Linked DNA regions of Drosophila melanogaster. Each later gene encodes a partner of the first gene's protein in a complex. Each region holds a gene or a part of one and is shown in the gene's direction. Other genes may lie near its edges.

The links.
Region 2: Mgtor (region 1) and Nup153 share a complex: the UniProt entries of both Drosophila melanogaster proteins name them as parts of the nuclear pore complex.
Region 3: Mgtor (region 1) and Nup358 share a complex: the UniProt entries of both Drosophila melanogaster proteins name them as parts of the nuclear pore complex.
Region 4: Mgtor (region 1) and Nup214 share a complex: the UniProt entries of both Drosophila melanogaster proteins name them as parts of the nuclear pore complex.

The regions. Positions count from the first base shown.
Region 1 is NT_033778.4:11,850,622-11,855,933, forward strand, and holds the start of Mgtor (megator), read left to right. Parts: upstream 1-1,995; 5' UTR 1,996-2,134; coding exon 2,135-2,285; intron 2,286-2,726; coding exon 2,727-5,312. Other genes in the region: Sln (silnoon), read left to right, coding at 1-461, 538-664, 726-1,107. UniProt on the Drosophila melanogaster protein: Component of the nuclear pore complex (NPC), a complex required for the trafficking across the nuclear envelope. Functions as a scaffolding element in the nuclear phase of the NPC.
Region 2 is NC_004354.4:16,596,910-16,602,255, forward strand, and holds the start of Nup153 (nucleoporin 153kD), read left to right. Parts: upstream 1-2,331; 5' UTR 2,332-2,730; exon of another isoform or gene 2,731-2,814; 5' UTR 2,815-3,245; coding exon 3,246-3,404; intron 3,405-3,470; coding exon 3,471-3,986; intron 3,987-4,044; coding exon 4,045-4,289; intron 4,290-4,466; coding exon 4,467-5,346. Other genes in the region: CG9784 (uncharacterized protein), read right to left, coding at 1-1,333. UniProt on the Drosophila melanogaster protein: Component of the nuclear pore complex (NPC), a complex required for the trafficking across the nuclear envelope. Functions as a scaffolding element in the nuclear phase of the NPC.
Region 3 is NT_033777.3:25,247,041-25,252,361, forward strand, and holds the start of Nup358 (nucleoporin 358kD), read left to right. Parts: upstream 1-2,307; 5' UTR 2,308-2,590; coding exon 2,591-2,662; intron 2,663-3,182; coding exon 3,183-5,321. Other genes in the region: RpS27 (ribosomal protein S27), read right to left, coding at 393-398; Nup37 (nucleoporin 37kD), read left to right, coding at 923-1,066, 1,133-1,541, 1,599-2,008. UniProt on the Drosophila melanogaster protein: E3 SUMO-protein ligase. Component of the nuclear pore complex (NPC), a complex required for trafficking across the nuclear envelope.
Region 4 is NT_033778.4:22,918,511-22,926,817, reverse strand, and holds Nup214 (nucleoporin 214kD), read left to right. Parts: upstream 1-2,075; 5' UTR 2,076-2,163; coding exon 2,164-2,199; intron 2,200-2,255; coding exon 2,256-2,394; intron 2,395-2,453; coding exon 2,454-4,186; intron 4,187-4,239; coding exon 4,240-4,421; intron 4,422-4,478; coding exon 4,479-4,820; intron 4,821-4,876; coding exon 4,877-6,072; intron 6,073-6,170; coding exon 6,171-7,653; intron 7,654-7,746; coding exon 7,747-7,771; 3' UTR 7,772-7,881; downstream 7,882-8,307. Other genes in the region: ReepA (receptor expression enhancing protein A), read right to left, coding at 1-192; CG30187 (uncharacterized protein), read left to right, coding at 8,046-8,250, 8,307-8,307. UniProt on the Drosophila melanogaster protein: Part of the nuclear pore complex. Serves as a docking site in the receptor-mediated import of substrates across the nuclear pore complex including emb, RanGAP and phosphorylated Mad. Protects mbo/Nup88 from proteasomal degradation at the nuclear pore.

The DNA.
Region 1 (5,312 bases):
TCGCAAGCACTCCGGCACGGACTCCAATCGCGGAAGTCGTCGTCGGCGCAATGTCTTTGCCAACGACGAGGTGATATCCAAGATACAAGCCCACTTGGAGAAGCCTCTTTCGCCGCCGAGTGTGGTCAGTCGCGGACTCAGCAAGAGCATGGAGATACCCACTCCGGTTAGCAACCTCAGTGATCTCAAGCAGCAGCCGGTGGAGCAGGCGGAGCTCGGCATTCTAGACTCCCAGCTGGTGGAGTCCATTATCGATGGCGACGGCCACCTTGCCGCCGATGAGGATGACGATGACGACGAAGAGCGGGGACCACGCACTTGCTGCGAGCGCATCGAGATGTACCTGGACATCAGTCTGCTGCAGGACCCGAGCTTTATCCTGATGTGCCTATCCGTCACCTTGATGTCCGTCGGCTGTCCCTACATGTTGTACTATCTGCCCGCCCACGTTATTTCAATAGGTATACTATTTAAAATGTTCAAAGTATATTCTTTCGGCGTACGATTTTAAATATTATAAACTTGGTTCATCTTTAGGATACAATAAAAGTGAGGCGGGATACCTGGTGGCCATCAGCGCGGTCCTAGATTTAATTGGGCGCCTTGGACTTGGCTGGCTGTGCGACCTGCAGCTATTCGATCGCAAGAAGACCTACACCTTGTGGTGAGTACCAGATAAGGTTTATTTTTCGATCCAAACTAATCACATTTCCCTATATCGACAGCATTTTGGGCGCCGGATGTGCCGTGCTCACAATTCCCTTCGCCAAGACTCTGGTTTTGGTGGGTCTATCGGCCGCTGTCTACGGACTTTGCCTGGGTAGCTGGTATGTACTTATGCCGGTCCTCCTTGCGGACGTCTTTGGCACGGACAGGATCAGCTCGAGCTACGGGCTGGTGAGGATGTTCCAGAGCATCGGGGCCATATCGGTGCCTCCGCTGGCAGGACTGATGCGAGACCTTTCCGGAGACTACGAGATATGCTTCTACTGCATGGGATCCTGCATGGTGCTCGGGACCACTCCGCTGATTGTGTGGTCCATCCTGGAGGCCCGCAACCATCGGTTGTTTGTTCAGCGCGAGGAGGAGGAGTGCGAGGAGGCCTAGAAATGATTCGGATTCGTTGGTTGCCCCATATGTTAATAGTGTTTTAGTAGCGATCAAATACTAGTTGAGTTCCTGAGTTTCAGAGTTCGAATGCCTCACCGATATTGCTGATTCTACCAGTTACTATTACTACTATCCGTACGTTCTCATCCGTATCTTTGTATCTTAATCAATCCCCATGCCCACCCGCACCCAATCGCTTGTTATCCTTCCGTTGAGCAACAGCAAAAGGATGTGTAAGATGATGATATTCAAACGAAGAAACCAAACAACCTAAACAACCAACAACTGAGCACCAAATGTTGCGCAAAAAGAACTGAGTTTAAAAGACATGAACTACAAATACCCGTATATAACTTTATAATATGATAACTACGATCAATGCCCGACTAGATGGTTATATAGGCCGACTATAGTTGTAGGTTCGCACATCCATATCGGAAAGGACTAAACTTTGTGCAGGAAAAATTAAGTGGCTTTAGACAGAAGGGAGGCTTGAATGGAGAACATCACATTACATTACCCTAGAATTAAAATAGTTGTTGTGAGACATTTACCCATAAAGACAATTACCAAATAAACACGAAATCAAAAGGTTAATCGCGTTTTATGGAATTAAAGGGAATGATTTCGCTTGGTTTGGGTTTTGCATTCGTTTATGTTATTAAATAAAGTCCTTTCTTTTTTTATTCGTAATAAAAACGGATTTTTCAACCACGTTTAAAAAATTTTTTTTATGAATGAATTTATCTCTTTTTAAAGAAAAACATTTTGTTTTATTAGGCTGTGAATAGGCTGTTATAACGCTGTTGAAACAGTGAGAATAATATACTCGAATCGATAGTACCGAAAAATATCGATATTGTTCCATCTCCACTGCATTGACGTTCATTTTTTCGCGTCCCTAAAGCGACTTTGTGCACAATTCGCAAAAAATTAAGACTAAAGTAAAGTAAAAAGTAAGAAAGTAAACTTCGCACCGCTCCATATAAATTTAACCGCTGCTTGACAAGGATCAACTGCGAACATGGATCTCAGTGGTCCACAAACTCTGAACAACATACTTCAGCCCGACGAGTTGAAACTCGTGCCGGAAGACGTCCAGAAGAAATTGTCGGAGTACATCAACAATTTCTCAGATGAGTACTGCAAGAACCGTGCGGCCGCCAATCGGTTGGGTAAGTTTTTATATTTGTATATATACTAAAATGCGCCATATTTTGCAAATAACCCTTTATTTGCATGCGTATGCTTTTACCTCCAACTTTGCGGCGTTTACCGGCTCAGATACCGCTTCTTGTAATAAGCAATCCGCGACTGTATGGTTTCTAGCGTGGTAAACACTCTTGCGCCATTTACATATTTTTTGTATAGAAATTTAAATATAAAATTCCGGGTTGTTGCAATTAAAAACAATGGCTGCTTGCAGCAACATTATTTTCCTTATTAATTTTCACCTCACCGGTGTGGTAACACTGGCCGGACATTTTCCCACCAAAACAGTTGATTAGTCCGAGTTTGAAATCTTCAGGGAATTTCTGTGTATTCATTTTAATCCAAATACTTTGTGGTTACTTAAATCCAGTTAAGAAGATTATTTATTTTTGCCCTTTTCACAGCCGAAGCCGAGCAAAAAAAGGAAGAGCTGGAGAACAAAATGGAGGACTATCTAGTAAAATTTACCAGCTTTGAGTTAAATGTAAACGAGCTGCGCACTCATCTAGATCAGATGTCTTCGGAACGAGTTAACCTAATGGACACGATCGCCAAAGGCGAGCAAACTATATCACAGTTGCGCAAGGAAAAGGCGTCGGTAGTTGAAGAACGCGATTCGATGATGAAGGTAATCGAGCGCCAACAAGCGGAGCTGGAACGATTGAAGCAGGATCTGCACACCTACCAGCAGCAGCTGAGCAGCGCGATTGCTGCCAAGTGCGAAGCCATTGCTCGCGTGGACGAAATTCAAAGTAAGGAAGTGGCTCTGGAGCTCAAAGAGAACCGCATGGAAAGCGAACGCGATATGCTGCACAAGGAGATTTTGTTAATCAGCGGAGATCTGAACAAAAGCAACGCCGAGTTACAGAACATCCGACGGGAGCACACAATAAACACCATGCAGCTACAGTCTTGCCTTAAAGAAAAGACCGAATCGCTAAAGCTGATGCAGGAACAGTACGAACAGGCCGTCAAGACCATCGGGGAACTAACCAGCAAGATTGAAATGCAAAACGACACCGCCTTCAAGCAGAACCAGGCCACGGAAGAGTATGTGGGGAAGCTGAAAAAGGAACTTGATGCCAAAGAGAAGCTTTTTGAAATCTTTAAGAGCACCGAATCCGATCATCTGATCCAACGGGAGGAACTCCTACAGGGCATCTCCGAAATTAAACGTTTGTTAGAGGAGGCCGAAGAGCAGTGCGCCCAGTTGACGGAGCAAATGGAAACCATGAAGCAAAAGCACAGCGCTGAGTTGGACGAGCAAAATAAGAAGATTCAGGCTATGGAACAGGAGCTAGCAAGTGCCAACGATTTGCTAAAACAGGCCCGGGAAAGTAATTTGGAAAGCGCCATATGCCAGTTGGCTCCCAGTGCGGCTGTGGCTAGTCGCCTTATCCGCTCCGATCTATCGCTTACCGAACTTTACTCCATGTACGCCAAAAGCAGCGAAGAACTGGAGATGCGAAACTGCGAAATTGAGCAGTTGAAGTTGCAGCTCAAGTCGATCATTGCTGAGATTTCAGAGAGTGCACCGATTTTGGAAAAACAGAACTCCGATTACCAAAAAATGAAGGAAACTAACAGTGAGCTCCTGCGGGAGCATGATGAATTATTACAAAATAAGCTATGCCTTGAGCGGGAATTGGAAAGGGCCTTATCTACCCTTAATCACAACCAAAATGAGAATAAGAAACTAAAACAGACACACACCGATCTCAGCCGACAGGTGTGCATGTTGCTGGACGAATTGAACTGCATAAGGGCTGGAGTGAAACATGTACGTATCCAACCAACTCGTCAGCTACCCACCAGCGAAAGTTTGATCAGCGATAACTTGGTAACCTTTAGTTCTATTGAAGAGTTGGTGGATAGAAATACATACCTCCTGAATATGTCCCGCGAGCTCACAGAACTTTTGGAGGCTAGCGAAAAGAACCAAGATAAGATGTTGCTGGAGCAGTCTAAGAATCACATAAGAAAACTGGATGCGCGTTTTGCCGAATTGGAGGATTTATTAACGCAAAAGAACAATACGGTTACTACACTACTATCCAAGTGCGACCGCTACAAGAAGTTATATTTCGCGGCTCAGAAGAAGCTCGGTCAAAATACTGTGGATCTGGACGACTCCAATCTGGAGCCTAACGACTCTGCACTGGATACTTCAGAGCAGCCGGCAGCCAATTTTGAGGAGAGCAGGAAACTGGAAAAGAGGGTGCGACAGCTGGAGCAACAGTTGGAAGGGGAGGTCAAGAAGTATGCCTCACTGAAAGAGAACTACGACTATTACACTAGCGAAAAGCGTAAAAACGATGCACTGGCCCAAGAACAGTTCGATTCTATGCGTAAGGAGGTGCGGGAGCTAACCAGCAGTAACTGCAAGCTTATGAACACCACCGAATTCCAGAAAGAGCAAATCGAACTACTTCACAAAAATATAGGCACCTACAAGCAGCAGGTGACTACATTGGAAGAGCGTACCAAGAACTATGAAAAGACCATTATTAAACACGAGCAAACCGTACATTTGCTCAAGGACGAAATGATGGCGGCACACCGCAAGCACGCAGCAGCCGATGCAGAGGCTCAAAGCCTTCGCCAAGAGAACCGCATTCTAAGGGACACATCTTCTAGACTGCAGATCGAAAAGGAGACTTATCACCGCGAGCAGCAGAGCCAATCACTGCTTCTAAACAGTTTGGAATTCATAAAGACCAACCTTGAGCGATCTGAGATGGAGGGTCGCCAGCGTTTAGAGCAGCGTTTAGATGACACTGTACGGGAACTGGCTGCTCAGCGTCGTCACTTCCAGGAGGAGGAGGAGAAGTTCCGTGAATCAATTAACGAGTTTAAGCGACAGGCGGAGACGGCCATCAAGTTGAAAGATGAAGAAAAGCAGCTGGCAGACAAGTGGCAAGCGGAGCTTACCAGCGTTCGCGAAGAACTTGCTGAGAAGGTCAACAAGGTCAATGAATTAAGCAAAAAAC
Region 2 (5,346 bases), on another chromosome or scaffold:
CCTGATGGCGACGCTGTCGCTGGCGATTCCTGTGATGATGCCGACCCCTTCGATGATGCGAGGGCGTCTCAAACGGATCCGGTTGGTGATTGGAGTCCGAGGATGAGGGCGACTCAGCCTGATTGACATACTCGTAGGCTACGTAATCCGCCAAACTGGCGTACTCCGACGGAAAGATGCCAATCCAGTCGTTGGACCCCTCGTCGAACTCTGCCTGCTTGTGATACTCCACCGTGTTCTCGTCCCCAATCTTCCAGAGCGACAGAGGCGAGAACACCACGCCGGGCGCCCGTACATTCGGGTAGAGCTTGATGGTAAAGTCACTGGTCACCGGCTTGTGATCACTGATGGTGTACAGGGGATGGGACTTATACGAGCATTGCTCAATGGATAGCTGCATGCCGGGCTGCCGGTTCAGTGGCTGCACGGCGTACATTATCCGATCCGTCCAGGCTGGCCGCCGCTTCAGGTCGTACTCGGAGGTGCCCTCGCGGAACTTGAAGGTGGGCGGAAAGGCGGGCAGTCGCTCCTGCAGAACCTGAAAGGCCAGCTGCGACTTCTCGCGAACTTGATACAATTGATCCCGCTGGATAAGGGCCTCGTGCTGGGACTCATCGCGTACCAACTCGCGCACTTCCGTCGAGGAATCGCTGCCCTGCAGTCGGAAGTTCAGATCGCCAAACCAGAAGACATAGTCGTGATCGTAGATCTCCCTATACCGCTTGACGTGGTAGTGATGGTTCTCCAGTATCTGCTTGTAGTCCTCGATGCGCTCGTCCATCATATGGTCATGGGCAGTCAGATGGGCCACCACAAAGGCCAGTCCGCAGCCGTAAAGGGTGAACCTGACACTGACGGCGCCCTTGTTGCCCCAAATGCCACCGAAACCGGTCCTCGTGAACTCCGCCTCGATGTCCTGCAAGTGCTCAACGTGCTGCCGCCTCACGAACATGCTGAGCAGCAGCCCCTGCATCTGCTCGGTCTTTACGGCCACATAGTCGTAGTTGCGTAGCAGTTCCTTAGCCTTGTGCGTCCACGGATCCTCCTTGAACAGTCCCAACACCTGTTGCTGCGGCTGGGCATTGACCTCCTGGAGCCCCAACGCATAGATGTCCGGCAAGTGGGCATTAGTCTCCTTCGTGTCCTTATCCACCGTCACATCCTGCAGTCCCAGCAGATGGCGGAGGGATATGTTATCCGGAAATCGACTGCCCACATTCCAGGTGACCACATATACCCGGTAAGTTTCCAGCTGTTGCTTCCCTTTGCCCTTCGATCCGTCCGGCTCCGAGTCCGGAATCTTGGGTGTCTTGCTAGCCTCCGTTTGGCTCATTGTTGCTGGACTTGACAAATCGAAGAGATTAACCCAACTGGCTGCTCACAGCAATCAAGTTGTTTACCCAACCGATTAAGGTTTTATTGTGTAAGTCGATTCTTTATGCCTTTGTGGATTTTGTTGCTCCAATCTGGGTTGCTGGTTAAGTTGGGTGGTGAACAGCGGCGAGGGCGGTCGGTAATTGCTGAAAATATTGCAGCACAAATAGTTTTTAACACTTGTTTGCCCAGCAGCAGCAACAACAACAACTGTGCTACAACAACACGACGAACACAATAACAACAACTAGGGATGGCAAAACTGAGAAGATGACGATATCGACTAGCGGTATTTATTTTCCAGCCCTAAAAATGTAAATTTCTTAGACGTTAAGAGGTAACATATTTGATTCATCTAGTAGTAAATTCAAGTTGTTTTAAAATGGCTTGCTAAAATTGAACCAAAACAATATGGTTTCCCCTATAACCCATTTTTTAAGATTTATTTAACATTTATACTGTATAATTTCTTTGTCATATTTGCACCTTAATAAGGGCTTTTATATTTGGCGCTCATATTATGTTCGTTTATTATATTTGCTTTATTTCTAATGCAGAATCTGTGGTCACTCTAGCACTCGCTGAATTTTAACTCGCTGGAAATTCTTTTTAGGACAACTATCGATTAACATTAGTACAGTATTTAAACTTTTGCATTATCACACAGCCAAGTAAAAACCTAAACAAATACCTCACTCCAACTTAAAGATACAAACGAGAATTCCTTTTAGTCAATGCAAATGCTTAGTATTCAAATGACAACACAAGCAAATGGTTACATATGTTATAAGTCGCACTTGAAGCGGTTCTTGAGTAATAAGCCCGTATGGCAGTTCATCACCAATTAAAAATATTTAATAATTACAGACTTCCAAACCGTAAACGTGCATGTAACCGATAGCTGCAGGCAACGTATCGATTAGCACACGCTGCCCGACACGCCGATAGTATCTGACAAACATCGATTTTGGTTCCAGCTCTACTTTGTGGCCACACACGCGTTTTTTCCCCAATCAAATCGTGCTCTTTTGAAATTCTGTTTCTTGCAAATCGGTGGTGCGTGTTCTCGTGCAACAATGGAAAACCTGAATGCGACCAGCGGCAAATGTTAAATTGCAATTAAAAGTGTGGATTTCGCGGCGGTAAAACGCCAAAATTCGTACCGAATCGCTGCGCGCGTGTGTGTGTGAGCAGAGCGTGAAGAAGAGGAACGAAGAATTGCGAAAGCAGTGTGTGCGGAAGAAGTGGAAGAAGCACAAAGACAAAAGGAAGGTGAAAATATATCAAATATATATCAAATCTATCCGGCAAAAGTAAAACAAATATTGAAGAAAACGGGCGGCATGCTGGAAAGCGGTAAGGGCAAAGCCAAAAGCAAGAACCTCGAGCGCTTCGCCCGAATTCGGTATTCAATCCTTTTTCCCGCCTCTAATTTTGCAGTGCTTGTGCCCAGAATTTGCTCTTCATTGGTGGCCAAGAAGTCAAATCCTGATCAAACGCGACCAGTTTGTGGCGCCAAACAGAATATTATTTAAAAATATCGCGGCGTGTGTAAAACCTCGGCGAAACGCGAACAAAAAAAACCACGACGGCGTGCGTAAGCGCACTCACACCTTTGCACACGCACAGACAGAGAGAGAAGGCAGGATAGAGAGTGAGAACGAAGCGAGTGAGCGAACATTATCCGCACCTACACATACAAACTAGCTCGCAGGAATTGCAACAGTGTGTGCTTTTTTTTTGGTTTTTTTTTTTACTTACGTTTTTTGTTGTGTGTGCGGCAACGCTTCTTTTTCGCGTTTTTTTTGCATCTCTCTTTTGTGCCGTTGCTTCGCCGGCTAAAAAGGTGAGTCTGAATCTAAAGCGGCATAATGGAGGATGCACAGGAGCAAAGGGAATCCTCGCAAGCCGAATTGGCCAAAAAGCATCCGCTGACGCCGCTCAAGGAGCTGCCTGAAGAAAGCGAGGAGGAGGAGGAGGAAGAGGATGAATCCTCGGCGGGAGCCCTACGGGAGTCTGACAGCAACAACGTAAGTACAGTCGACGATAACTTGGTTCCCATCAAATATCCAACTTCCGTGCAATTGCAATTGCAGTCCATCATGGGGAAGATGAAGATGCGCGTGTCCAGCATTCTGCCCGCCTCCTTGAGCGGTTGGTTTTCGCCGTCGTCCAAAGATGGGAACGATGCCTTATCCTCCCCAGCTAATCTCCGCCAGTCACAGCCACGCCAGTCCAATGGACGCCTCACTACCAAGCGGAAACGAGGACGCCGTCGGATAATGCTAGCCGAAGTGGATGCCGATGCAGCCGATGATCTTGATGACGGCTCCGATGCCAAAGGCCTCAACTATGAGGAGGTGGCCCTGGCCGACAACATAGCCGAACACGACCTGGCCGCCGAGGATGAACAGACGCGGCGGAGCGAGTACAATGTGTTCCTGCTGCGCAAGCGAGCCGGGGCTGTTGCAGCTGCCGGCGGTGACGAGGATGAGGCCGAGGAGGATGAACTGGAAGAGGACGACGAGGATGGCGATGAGGAGGATGACGATGAAGAGCAGGAGAATCTCCAACAGTCCGCCGCCGTGCAGACCAAGCGTCGACGCCTGGAGGTAAGATCACATCTTCAATCCTGTCTACATTTCCCAACTAATCTTGAATCCCTTTCAGCTGGAGACCCCCGTCAATTTGCCGAACATGCGTCGTCTGCCCCTTTTGTCATCCACGCCTGCTGCTCCGCTCGCGGCTGCCACCAGCTCCTCCAGCTCCCAGATGTACAAGGGCGTCAGCCACATTGCGCCACATCGGCGCAATCACCTCAATTTGTATGGTAGTCAACGGCAGCGCGAACCCGCGTACAACTTTTTCACGGGCAACGAAGCTGCCGAGGGAAGCACCGGGGATCTGCCACACAGGTATGTTACTGCAGTCATGCTTACTAAAAGTGTTAATATGGAATTCAAAAAGATAACTACCTTAGAGCTCGTTTCAAACAAACTCAAATTTGGGCGTTGCATAGCCAGGCTATTGCCAAGACGAAAAAGAAGAAAACCTTAGTGAAAATTATAAGGCAATCATTTAAATCATTTTAGCATCCGCCGTTCACTGAACATACCTTTCGGAGGCAGCAGCACCGCTACCAGCTACAACAACAGCCTATCCAGCCTTCCTAACCACAAGCGACCATCGCTCATAGGCAAGCAAACCCATCGACGCGATCTTACCATGGATGAGACGGGGACTGGCCCGGCCATGAGTTCGGAAGAACATCTCAATCATTTGCTGAGAATAAGCAGGACCAACAACAATACTAGCAACAATAATAATAATAATAATAACAACAACAATGTCATTGAGACAAAAACAAGACGAAGTGAACTGTCTGCGGCCGCAGGAGGTTGCGGTGATTCGCAGTCCGAGAGCGATATGAACGAATACCACGACAATGGTGAAGGGCACGACGGACTTCGTCCGTCGCATTACAACAGCAACAGCAATTTAGAATTTTACGGAAATCTGCAGAGCTCCAAGTCAATATTTAACAGAAGCAACACCGCCGCACAGCAATCGCATCGGAATTCTACGTGGTCGCTGAATTCCCTTACCCAACGACGTCGCTTCAATGCGTCCATATACGGCAGTACGTCGGCACTGAGCGACAGTCGTCTGCTTAGTGGCAGTGCCTCTAACTCAGGCTCTGCATCTGCCTCTAGCTCGCCCTTTTACCAGGGACGCACCACCTTCGGGGGCAATTCCGGCAACAATCGCCTCTTCAGTCGCAGCAATCTTAGCTCATCCGCCGCATCCTCAATGTTGGGACTCAATTCTGCCGGCAGCTCACCGGCGCATCAGCTGCATGCTTCCATGACTGGTGGTATTGGATACGGTATGAAAGCGGTAGATATGCGACCTTCAGACTCCGGCAGTCTTGCGGAGACATCTGTGGGCCAAGGTGGCAGTAAGAAACCCGGT
Region 3 (5,321 bases), on another chromosome or scaffold:
CTCGGTGTATCAACAAATGCAGAGCAGACTCCAGGCAACAACAACATAAATTCGCAAATGCGTGTTCTAGGTTATGTGCAAGGATATCCGTCGATTTCACATGACAGTGCAATCAATTCCTCCTGTAAGTCCCAAGATTCCATTTAAATCTCATTTGGCCATTTCACAACTGTTTGCAATTTCACTGGCGCACGCCATGCGTGGCTTGTATCGCACACATTCAATGGAAGCGGGCCAGACATTTGTTTTACAGTCTTTCAGGGCCGTTATTATCGGCCGACACTTGCTCCGTTTACACTGGACACTTTGGCGGTAATAAGCGGCCGTTTTTGGTTATCATTCGGTTGAGTTTTCTGTGTTTAAATTCAATTTTAACGCAATTCGGAACCCACCGGCATGTTTTTTCTTTCACAGCTAACACGGAAAAGGAAGTGGGGTAAATCGCAGCCAACTTAACTTGCCCGAGAATGCACTAAATAATGCTGAACAGCTGGGCGATGGCAACTCTGCTGCTCACGCTTTCCAATACTGGAGTGTGTGTTGCTTGAGTTCAAAATTTATTCTGACTTTATTCGTGTATTAGCAATAAATTTTATAAAAAGCAAACGCTACACAGTCGATATTAGGCATTACTACTATTACTATCATTAAAAAGTTCGCCGACGTATGACTACTTAAATATTGTTATGTTTCTTTTTAAGACTAGCCATTTTTATTAAAACTTGAGGCACAATAATGTAAGCATTAAACATAATAACGAATATATTTTCGAATAACATTTCTTTGCGTATTCTGTTTTTTAAAAGTGTAAAATCTTGGAAAATTCTTCCACTGATTTTTGGTCATACTAAAATAAACATTTTTTTGGCGCCGGCTAATTGTTGCATATATCCCGCGAATAACAAACAATATTTATAGAAAGATGCGATCTGTCATCGAGCCCGACCACAGCATCCAGCTTAATGAAGCCATCTACTGCTACGATATATGCACCAATGACTTTGCCTACAACCTAATCGCAGTGGCCTTCAGGAAACACTTGAGTCTGCTGCTCGTTGGACTGCCGGTGGGTTTCCATGCATAAGACCAGTGAAGGTTGAATGATTTTGAATGGTTAACCCTTAATCCGCAGGAGGAGAGCGGCGAGTTCGGGTACACACGCCTGCAGGACATGGACCTGGGCGAAAAGGAGCAGCGGAGCGTGAGCGCACTGGCCTTCTCGCCGGACACCTCGCTCAACTGCACGCCCAACAATGTGACTTTGTGCGCGGCCAACGGCAGCCAGCTTAAACTATACCGCACCGATCTGGGCCAGTTCACCTCGCTCCAGGTGCTCCGTGGGCATGGGGACTACGTCAACGATGTATCCTGGGTTTGCGACGGCGAACTGCTGGCCTCCGTTAGCGATGACTTCACCTGCAGATTCTGGACGACGACAGGCGGCGGGGAGAATGTCATAACCTTTGGCCTGTCCTCCGCTGGAATGTCCGTCAAGAGTCACCCCGAGGATCCCAACAAGGTTCTTGTGGCGGAAAAGAAGGGTGTGCTTGCTATTACCAGTGTTTAGCCCGCGGTGTAACTAAGGAAACTCCTTGCAGGCATCATTCATCTATACAATGTGACGCTCAAGCAGACAGTCATCTCCGTGGAGTCGCCCAAATTCCCCCTGATGTCGGCGGACTGGGCCCACAGCAACCGGCTCTTCATCACCTCGCTGGCCGGCGGAGATGTGGTTACCTGGGACCTGAACCGACCCTATGTGCCCGCGGATGTCAAGCAGGTCCACGAGGATTGCGGCCGGGTGGTGCGCTTCGCGCCAGGCAGCTCCGAGATGGTTATCGCCATGGTCATCGGGCTGACTCTCAAAGTGTTCGCGGCCAAGTCGACCGTTCCTCTGCTGGAGGCCTCCCTGAAATCCTATGGGGGAATGGCCTGGCACCAGCGATTGCCGTACATTAGTGCGGTTTCCGATAGGAAACTGCTCTTCTGGAAAGTGCAAATGAAGTAATTTATATAAAATTGTATGAATAATAAATAAAAGAATATAAAAAATATGATATAAAAAAGATTTATCAGAAGAATATCAATGATCTACACTCTATTTCTATATTTATATTTCATAATTTCGTTAAACTATCATAAGTTTTATATTATTCTTGAACCTTCTTTAATTTATTTATTAAATCCCTTATACTTATTTGTTTGTTCGAAAAAAAATCGTAGCAATCGATAGTTGCTATAGTCATTAAAACATCGGTGACGCGATATATTCGCGCCCATCGATGAAAACGCGTAGTCATCGTTTTTTGTTCCAGCACTAAGTTTGCACAAATTTTTTGGTTTCCGTGCTGTTCAGCTTAAGTTTTAATTGGAATTTAGTGATATTTACGTTCCAATCTACACCGCAAACGAGTGCAGTTTGTTGCGACTGGAATTGCCCATCCGAATCTACGTGATTTTCCGGCCGGGGCAATTAACCGTTCGAGGAATCTGCTTCAATCGGATGACGAGTGAAGAAGAATCTAACGCGAAGCACATTTTTGCAAGGTCTCGTCCACTGCAAATTGGACGTGTTTAAAAAAGTACAGATATGTTTACAACGCGAAAAGAAGTGGACGCACACGTCCACAAAATGTTGGGAAAACTTCAGCCGGGAAGAGAGGTAAATAAACGGCCAAAGTGTGCATCGGAATTTCCAAAAAGAAAATCATTGCGAAATCTTCAGGCGCCGCCATTGAAAGCACACCGTTGTGTGCGTGCGGCGTCTGCTTGTGTTTGTGTGTGTGAGTCGGCGTCACTTGGCCGTCGTTTTTGAGATTGAATAAGAAATTGCGCGCTTTTCTTTCAACGGCTGCATTTCATATACTTGACAAATAGAACGCTTTTTTCGCAGCTGCATGGCTTTCGCCTTCTCTGTATAAATCAAATTAGATATTTGAGGTTATGTGTACCATATCAATCTGCTAGAGTGAGCGCTGAATTTGTAAGACCGCCAAAAATAATTCGAATTTCCATTGTGGATTTGAATGATTTTTTGCGGTCTAACGTAGCTCTATCTAAATAATAAGCACACAATAAGTCAAATCTTACAAAGTTATTCTTATCCAGCTCACAGTGATTGTCTAAAAATTTAACAGACTTTTTTGAACCTAACGTACTAATCAATAAAATGTATATTGTAGCGCGATATCAAAGGCTTGGCTGTAGCTCGATTGTACATGAAAGTTCAGGAATACCCAAAAGCCATCGAGTATTTGAACGGCTATCTCCGGGTGAGGGACGACGCTGTAGGCCATAACATGATTGCCACTTGCTACAGTAGGCTGAACCCGCCCGATGTGACAGAGGCCCTGCAGCACTACCAACGTTCTATTCAAATTGATCCGCGTCAGTCAGAGGTTGTCATTGACGCCTGCGAACTTCTGGTGAAGGAGAACAACGCATCGATCACGGAGTGCGCCAGGTACTGGTTGGATCAGGCTAATAGCCTTGATTTAAGCGGCAACAAGCAAGTCTTCAACCTGCGAATGCGTGTAAATCTTGCGGACAGTAACGGCGAAAGAGATGACACCAGTGGCGGAGACGGCGAGCAAAATACCCTCGAGATTCTTATGTACAAGGAGCTGCAGGCGCGTCCCCAGGATGTTAATATACGCATACAACTGCTGCGCAGCTATGTTGAAAAAATGAAAATAGACCAGGCCTTCAACTATGCTCTAAAAACGGAACTGGAGTCGAAAAACTGCACGAGCCAGTCGAACGAATGGTACGAGCAGATCTGGATGGTCCTTTTCAAGATAGAAATGGCCAAGGATGTAAAGAAGAACTGGCGATTTTGGCACTTCGCCTTGCACACTCTCGATCGTCTCGTGCAGCTAAGCCTGGAGGGCAGTGGACTGGCAGACAGCAGCAAGCAGTTGTTCAGACTTGATCAATATCTATTCAAGTTTAGCACTTCGATAGAGAGGTCAGGGGACGCTCCGCAGCGGGATCTCCACCAGGCTTGTATTGACCACTTTACCGGCCAGCTTCTGCTTCACGCGGTGACACTGATTTTCAAACGTGAGGTTCTGGCAAACAAAAACAAATGGATGAGCACGCTTCGCTCCGCTTTGCCACTTCTGCTCCTTGGTTACCAGGTGCGACCGATCGATGATTCGAGTACCAACCAATGGATAAAACACTGCGACGCGGAACAGAAGCAGTTGATACAGATGTGGCGCCCTCAGGGCGCCTTTCGATGTGCCCAGCTTGGACGAACCCTTTTGGGCTGCTTGGACCGGTCACAAATGGAAATTAAAAACGATAGAGAAAATGCCGAGTTTGATGAGAATAAGAATTCGGGAAATTCTATGCCGGGATTATTTGCCGACTCCGAAGAGCTGTTGGCCAGCGCTCACCAGCAATGCTTGGACAAGAGCTGGCGAAGTCAAATTTACCAACAGCTCTTTACCCACGCCGAACACAAGCTAAAGGATACGTCTTCGCATCTGGTGCGGAACCTGCGTCTGCAGCTGCCTCTTTTTGAGTGGCCGAATCTGGCGCATATCGAGAACTACGAACTGCAAGCGTTGGTGCTGCCGCCACACTCCTTAGCCCAACATGTCTACCTGGCTCTGGGCACCGACCCGAACAAACTTGGAGATGCGCCACGCGTGGTCTTTTATGAGGGTTTCCAACGGGATGTTAAGCAGAATCTAAACTACTGTGGGCAAGATTCAATCAGCCAGGTAGATGTGGACCTCTACCTTTATGCCACAACCATTCAGACCAGACGTAAATTGCAAATCCAGCGTGAGGTGTATGACTCCTCCAATTTGGGAAACCGCAATGCTGCCGCCCGGCCACATATGATGCCATTTGCCAATCTAGTGGGTCAACTAGGCGCACCGGAGCAAAGTAACTGGTGGGATCTGGTGGTGCGACTTAACTCGAACCAGCTTATCACTGAAGGCAATCGCGCCGAGCAACGAGCTCAACTACAACATGGATTGGAAGCGGTGCGCGGCGTTAATGGCCCAAAAGCAGATGCCATCATCATTTTTCAATTGGGAAAGATTTTAAATTCCCGATCGGATCGTTCTTCTCTAGAAGCGCGTATCGATACCCTGTACAGGCAAGGATTTTCAATTTTACGCCACCAACACAACCAGCAGATGGAATCCTATGTCCGCGTCTTTAAGTACGGATCCGCCGGCTCAACGGCAGCATGGCAAGATCTTCAGTCGTTGGCTGAGGAAGCCGTCACCTATTTTAGCGAGAAAATGTTTAGGATTGGACAGTATGAGCAGTTTTTGGACGAGGTCCGGGGACTTCATCTG
Region 4 (8,307 bases), about 11 Mb from region 1:
TGGGGCCCGTTGTTGCTGTTGCTGCTGTTGTGGGGCGTAGATAAACTTTGGATACACGGGTATCACGTCCTCTGGCTGGTCCTCGAGCGAGTAACTGCGTCCGTAGACGGTGCCCGGCGGATGACGTAGGCGGCGGAGATTAGCTGGCCGCTGGTAGAAGAGCGGCGGCTCCTGCTGATAGATTGGCCTCATGGCAACGGGGATGCATTGCCCGCAGCACGGATCGCAGATAGTTCCTGGCCGCTAGAACGCCGAGCAGAGACTGCCGTAGCTCGGCGTCTAACGCTCAGGCGAGAGGTCTATTAATAAACCCACGATCGGGTCTAGAGAGAACCAGCAACAGAGGAGCACTCAATGTTTACACGTAGGAATGCGCCGCAGTTCCGAATGTTGCGACAGAGGCGTTCAAGAAAATAGCACCTCAGTATCAAGATATTTGAATCTTTAATTTGGAAAGGATACTTTAGCGAGTAATGGGAGAAATCGCCTCGATTTAATTCCTTAGATGTAAGAACTATATATCTTGACTATGATGTTAGTTATTGATTTGAACCGATTACTAATTTCATTATCAAAAGTAAAGTCTAGTTCGAAGTTAAGATGTATTGACATAATGGAAAATGCTAACGGAGGTATTGTGTGCTTGAACAAATGAGGTGCTAGCTACTTGGCCGCGACTGTGCCACACTATGGGCAAGCGTCGAGTTGCGATCTATAAATATTGACAACAATAGCGGAGTCACAGAGAGTCGCCGGGTCGCCGACAGGCTATATCCACATGTTCTGCACCCAAATCGGGCGAGGCGAGTGCGTCGGCCTCGGGAACACAGAGACGCAGAAGCTTGGAAAGTTGCAACTCCAAATTAGGAGTTCAATCGAGGGTTACACACACAGGCCGCGCACACTCGCGCACAAGTGAACGGTACTTTGCGACAGCTGATTAATAAACAAACAATCCGGCAATCAGCGAATCGAGGAACCACGGAAATGTATAAAACTTAGAAATCAGAAGCGTGACGCCCACACAATTAGGAAACGACGACGGGCTTCGTAGGTGCTTTTCTCGCTTTCGAAGGCCGAGCTTGAAAAGTTAGTTTTGTTTTTTTTTGGGGGTCAGCAGCTGTAGCGCTCTCACTCGCACTCACACTCACTTGCGGTGGCTATGAAGTCGGGATTTGCTATAGTAGTAATCGGTTATTACTCACATTATAAGCCGCGAAAACAGGCTGCTGATCATCTTGAGCGTCGCCTGGCTGCTCTAGGGGAAAACTGTAGGGTATTTAATTAGAGTCCACTCCGTTATCCTGGCCTCCTTTCCAACCCCAATTTTCACCTGGAATTTCCTTGACTTTTCCGTAAATTATGTGATTTGGGGTACTTTATGGGCAATATCGAAATAAAATCCACAGATTTCTGTTTAAGTCGATTTAAATTTCATTTACTTTTTGGTAACTGCGATTGAATTCGAAGGATTTCGAGATTAATTGGCTACGCAATTTTTAGCACCGTGTTGCGTCGCCTGTGGATAATTGCGAATCGCCAGCTCGACCTCTACTACATGGCTTTGTGCAATCACAGTCGAAACAGCCGATGCTTTGTGCCCTGCTTTGCAAATGCATTCGCATTGCCCGCGAACAAATCGCTTTTGTTTAATTCTCAGCAAACAAAAAGAAACGCTTGTAGGACAGAGACAGACGAACAACAACAAGGCTGCTGCGCTAGCGATGTGCTGAAATTTTCGTTCTCGCACATACTGTCCAAAACAAAATACCGTCTGAAAAAATACCAACAAAGTGCAATTGCCATATGGTCAACCGCTAAGACAAGATTGGTGAATACTTAATTCAAGCTAAGTTGGTTTCTTTTAGTTAACAAGTTCATCAGTTAGTTATAGGAGAAAACTATTTTTATATAAGATTTTATCCCATTTTCTTTTTAAAGGAACATCTATGAAATTTAAATCAGATTGTATTGTATATGTTGTTGGATTTTTTGGTGGTGAGTTTTTGTGGTGAGTTTCCTGAAAGTGACCGTACTGCAAGTGGCGCGCTTTTTGCTTGCCAACGTTTCCAACGATCTCAACTTGCAGCCACACCATCGACTCGATTGGGAAATCGACAAGCCGCAAAAAATTTGGCGAAATAGGAGCGAAAACAGACAAAAATGGCGCAGAATGCACCAGACTGCGAGGACACGCAGGTAAGCACAATTGCATAGCACTGAGATGTCAAACATTCCATTGGTTTTGGTCGCAGGACTTTCAATTCAAACTGCACCACAAGATTGTTGCGTTCAAAAAATGCGGTGAGCCCCGCAGCAATGTGAACCTGCTGGCGGTCTCCAGTAGCCGGGGATTGCTCTTTGCCGGGAGTCCAACGCAGCCGGAACTCAAAGGTAATGTAGCTTGAGTTAGCTAGGCTAAATATATAAATTTATCCTGGCACTCCTTGCAGTGATTATTGTAAAGGATTTGGTCAATGCGAAGAGCACAGCCCAACAGCCGCAGGCGCGTCTGGTGCCACTGCCCAGTATTCCGAATTACATTGCCTGCAGCTCCGATGGCAACCTGCTGGCCGTGAATCACACCCAGAACGGCACCAGCCTGCTCAGCATATATGCGGTGCTATCGTTCATGACCCCTGATGTACGTCCTGTTTATAATATTCGCCTCGCCGCCGAGGATCACGTGCACGGCGTCCAGCTCCTCTGGAATCCCGTGCTGCCCAACAGCCTGGCCGTTGTTTTGAGCAACGGAGCGCTCGCGATGTATGCCCTGAAGGAGGGGGGAAACTTTGAAATGCACTCGCTGGACAAAAATCAACAAGTTAAGTGCGGCTGCTGGTCGCCCAAGGGCAAACAGATCGTTCTTGGTTTTCCCGGCGGCACGGTGAAGCAGTTCAAGCCGGATCTGACTCTGGCCAAGACGCTTTTGTGTCCTCCGAATATACATGATGCCCCCTTTGACACCATTGCTATACAGTGGCTGTCGACTTTCCAGTTTGCAGTGATCTTTCTCCAGCATGGCGAGGACTGTAGCCCCTCGCTTTACATTCTAAATGCTCCCAAGGCTGGTGCGCCCAGCTACATAAACTACTATGACATCTGCTATAGCATGAACGGCCCGAGGAATCATCAGTTCGTATTTAGCCATGTGCCCCAGTGGAATCTGCTGCTCGTAGTCTCGGCCAATGGCGTAGAGGTGGGCATCATGCGGTCAACCGAGGCCGGCGATACACCCGCTTGGCAGCAGCTTACATTGCTGGATGAGGCACGCATTGAAATGCCCCTAAGTGAGGACAAGGATGAGACCTTCCCGCTGGGCTTTGCCTTCGACACTTCTACAACGCACCAGCTGACGATAAATGAGAAGAAGCTGCAGACTATGCCCATGGTTCATGTTTTGAGTTCGGATGGAGAATTGCTCTCGTTCAACTTTCTTAATGTGCTGCCGACGGCGGTGTCTGTTTGTTCGCCACCTCCTCCAGTGGCCGATACTTCTGGGCAGTTCAAGCCGTTGAATATGCTGCTTGCTAGTGAGGAAGAAGAGCAGCCAGCTTGGGCAGCCAGTCCCTCCAAGGCTCCAGCTGCAACTCCTGCTGCTTCCTCGGACATATCCTTTGCATTTACACCGAATACCGTTACTTCAACCCCAGCTCCCTCGAAGGATAAGCAACCATCATTGTTTTCTGGCTTTGGAGCAGCTGCAGCTAAGGCACCTGCTCCGCAACTATCTTTTGGTACTGCTCCGACTTCTAGTCCGGTTTCGTTTGGTGCTCCAACTACCAATGCAGCCAAGCCAACAACACCGTTTGGTGGGTTTGGCACGCAGGCAACGACTACTGCCATGGGAAGCATGTTTTCGGCTTCAGGAGCAAATGCCTTTGGGGGAATGGCATTGAATAAACCGGCTATTGCCAGTGTGACACCCCGAACAGCGGCACCTGGGTCAACAGTACCCGCAACTCCTGCTTCTGCTCCAGCAAACAAACCACTGTACACGGTTCCTTTAACATTCACACCAGTGGACACAAAACCAGCCACTTCAGCTCCTCCACAAATCGCAGATGAAAGTCTTAAGCCTGATGACACTGAGCCTATTATCAAGGACATGATTGCCCTACAAATCGAAGCCTTTAGCAAGGATATCCAAAAGCAAAAGGAACAGACGAAGGAACTCCTCAAAGGCGTAAGTAGTGTTGGTATTACACTGCTTCATGTATTAAAGTTGTTATTCCGCAGATTGCAGCACCATCTGCTTTGAGGGCATACGCAAAGAGACTGGATGACCTCCAAGAGCTCAATGAACAAGCCAAGGATGTGGAGTTCGAGTTAGATGTACAGGGATTGCGACAGGGTCTTAATGAGGCCTATGCCATCGTAGCAGAGTGCCGCGGGAAACTGGAGATTTATAGAAAACCAGAGTGGGTAAAGGACTCTTTGAATATATAAGCTATTTAAAACCCGTAATTTTCGTTTAGGATTACGCGTTTAATGAACTCAAGCTCCTGTGATCCCTCTGGCCGTCGCATGCTAGCTCGTCTTCAGAGCTACGTGGCTGCCAATGAGGCCCAGCTGCGTCTTGCCCAGCAGCATGTCGATTTGCAGTGGGAACAGTTTCAGGATGTTGTGCGGCGCAATTCGAAGTCTCGCATGCACATGCCTTGCCTAGAGGGAATCTATCAACGACTGACAAGACTACAAAATCTAACTTCTAACCAGCGAATTGTACAGAACAACATCAAGTCCAAACTGAAGGAGCGCGGATTGCTTCAGGCCGCACTGCTCGACCAGGAGAAAAGTCGCACCCGCACCAACGAAGCGTTAGTAGAAGTTATTGTGACCTCTCTCTTTATGCGACTATAACTTTTTTATTTAGAGTGGATACATTGACCGACTCCATTCTCACGATGAGTCTTAGCCAGGTAGTGGACTCTAATGCAGCCAAGCTCACTCGAGAAAGACTACAAAAAATCCGTAATATTGTTCAGCTGCAGAAGATCAATGTTATTTGTCCCCAGCGACCAGATCGAGTGGGGCTCAAGTCGGAGGTTATTTTGGAAACGAAACGTAGGGCGGAGCAAATTAAAAGGGCAGCAGCCAAGCCTGCAACAGCCAACAAATACACCCAAGCAGCAGTCGCTCCGCCTTCACCACCAGATGTTGCACCCACGCCAGCTGTTGCACCCATGCCACAAGCAACTGTTACAGTGGCTCCTCCGCTGCCTAAACCAATGCCATCTATACCGTCCGTTGTGGAAAAGCCTGGAGTGCCCACACATCCGACAACTCCAGTGGCTACGCCATTTTCCTTCAGCCAAAGCATCCCATTTGTGAAGACATCTACTGTGACGCCAACGACAAATACTGTGACTCCTGGCGAAGCAGCCAAGCCGGGTTTATCCATTTTCGGCGGCAGTACTATTTCCAGCTTTAGTTTTGGTGGTGGTGCTGCCAAGTCGGCACTCTCATTCGGAACAGGATCGCCAGCCGTGGCAGCTCCTACACCAAAACCAAACCCGTTGTCAGCGGTCGAAAAACCAACACCCGAGCCGACTAAGCCCAAAGAGCAGAAAGCAGCAGAAAGCAAAGAATTCAAGGCGGTACAACCCGAAACAGAAGAGTCAAAAGTACCCCAAAAACCAAAGGCAGAGACGGAAAACAAATCCTTTGGATTTGGAGGATTTACAGGAACTGGAGGTACTGTCGGAAATACTTCCAGCTCCCCGTTCAGCTTTGGCGGACTGGGTTCATCTCTAGGCTTCGGAGGAACAGCCGCTGCTGTGCCAAAATCTGAACCTTCCAGCACAGCAACCACTAGTGTAGCCACATCAGCTTCAACTGCACCATTTGGCATCTTCTCAGCAGCTTTGGCGAAACCATCCAACTCTGAACCGATCACCACGGTCACTAGCAACACAACCACCATCACCAGCAAGCCTACGAATGTAATTGCTTCGAGCAGCGTAACTGATGCTCCTTCCGTCACCACAACAAATGCAGTGACCAGCAGCACGGATCCTATTGGAGGCCTCTTTAGCTCTGTGACTATCTGCAAGCCCAACACTCCTGCAGGTAAGCTATAGTTTCCTTTATCAATATACCTTACGCATAAATGTATACGCTTATTTGGCATAAACTCTAAACGGCTATATATGTCTTTTACTTTGCAGATACCACCAAACCAGCCAACATTTTTGGAGGAGGTTTATCCGCTGGTAGCTTTTCATTTGGCGGAACGATTGATGCCTCAAAGGGATTATTCGGCAGTACCAAACCAGTGGCAACAGCTCCCACAAGTGTGACGGAGGCGAACAACAAAACTGATCCTATTTCAACCACCCCATCAGCCATTTCGACTACTACTGCTACGACGACTGTGTCTAGTCCAGCAGTAGTTCCTGCGGCAGTTACCGCAGCAGTTCCGGCAACATCGAGCACAACGGTAACATCTAGCACTGCTGTTCCCGGCAGTGCGTTCTCCTTCTCAAACGCATTTAGCACCCTAAGTGCGGGAGGTGCTGCAGCTCCAACTACCAGCGCTTCAGCTCCCTTAGCTGCCAAAAGCCCAACCGCTACATCTACAGGCAATAACTCGTCGAATTCAGTGTTTGGTGGTGGCTTCGCAGTAGCAACATCAACAGCGGCTCCAGTGGCTAGTCCCTTTCAGTCAGCTGCAAAAAGTCCAGTTTCGAGTGCAAACATTTTTGGCAGTATACCTAAGGCGGAGACCAGCGTTTTCGGAGGAGCTACAACTGCTCCTTCAAACACCACGGCTGCGGCAACACCAGATGCACCACCAGCGGGTCTCTTTGCATCGGCCGCGATTAGTAACCCTTCGCCGTTTGGTAGTCCCACGACTAGAGCACCAGCCTCTGGCGGTAACATTTTTGGTCAGGCTGTTAAGCCAAGTGTCTTTGGACAACCAGCACAAGCAGGCGATAGCGGAGGATCTATTTTTGGTGGCGGATCCGCCAGTACACCTTTTGGATCCAGCTCAATTTTTGGAGGAGGTAATACGCAGGGCGCAGTCGGCGCTCCGGCTGCAGGAAGTACTTCAATTTTTGGCCAAAAAGTGTTTGGTCAATCATCAGCGGCTGCACCGGCAGCAGGTGGGAATATATTCTCCAATCCCGTCGGCAGTCCGCAAGCTTCTCCTTTTGGTGGCGGAGGAAACTCTATTTTCGGATCACCAGCAACAGCTCCGCCCGCATCTGGCGGATCGATCTTTGGGGGTGGCAGCAGCTCTGGTGGATTTGGCTCCTTCACGCAGACGACACCAGCTCAGGGGGGCTTCGGTGGTGGATTTGGCCAGGGCGGGGGTGGATCTGTGGCCCAGACAGGTTTTGGCTCACCACAAGCCCCGCAGCAGCAAACTACGACACCAGGTGGGTTTGGAGCCAAGCCCGTTTTCGGTGGATCCCCGGCCTTTGGAGCTAGCCCCACTTTTGGGGGAGGTGCCACCTTTGGCAGTCCGAAGGGTTTCGGTGGATTTGGCGGTGCCAGCCCAGTAGCCTCCCCTCCACCCTTTGGTGCTGCTGCAAAGCCGGCACAGGGAAACATTTTTGAAACGTTGGGGGGACAGGAATCGGGACTCTCTTTCGGAAATCTAGCACAGACTGGAAACTCAAATGCACAGAAACCAGCGTTTGGCGGGTAAGTTCGACCGACATACATACATATGCATACTTATATAAGTATTTCCAAGAATGCATACGACTAACGAAATATTAAATTTTACTATTTCAGATCGAGCTTTATGAATTATCGTTGAGTTCATAATAAATGTGTTGCATAACTCAATAGTTTTGCTTGTTCAGTTTTCATGAAATAAGAATACCAGTTAAAATTAAAAATCTTAAATCTTAAATCTTTATTAAAATTAAAAAAAAAAAAACTGTGTTTTTACTTCACGCGAAATGTGTGTACTGAACTTTATTTAGTATTTATAGTCTAGTATGATAAGGGTTTCTTTTTTTATGAAATACTTGCTATGGTATTATGCTCATGCTAAGGTTATCACCTATTTCATTCGAACATCTCATGAGATGCAGACACGTCTGGCTTGGATTCCCGTCATTTTTTGGTTCCTCAAAGATGTGGGTGCTTCAATCTTCTTGGACCAGATCTGTGGAATCAATATCGCACTCAAAATCACCGGCGGGCATAATGCAGCATTTCAAAATTCTGTCTGGATGGCAGCTGTACACAATCGGACACATTTTATCTGCGGTGGCACGCTGATTCATAAGCGTTTGTATATTTCAACGGAACGAGATTAATTAATAATACAAATATTGCTTTCTTAGG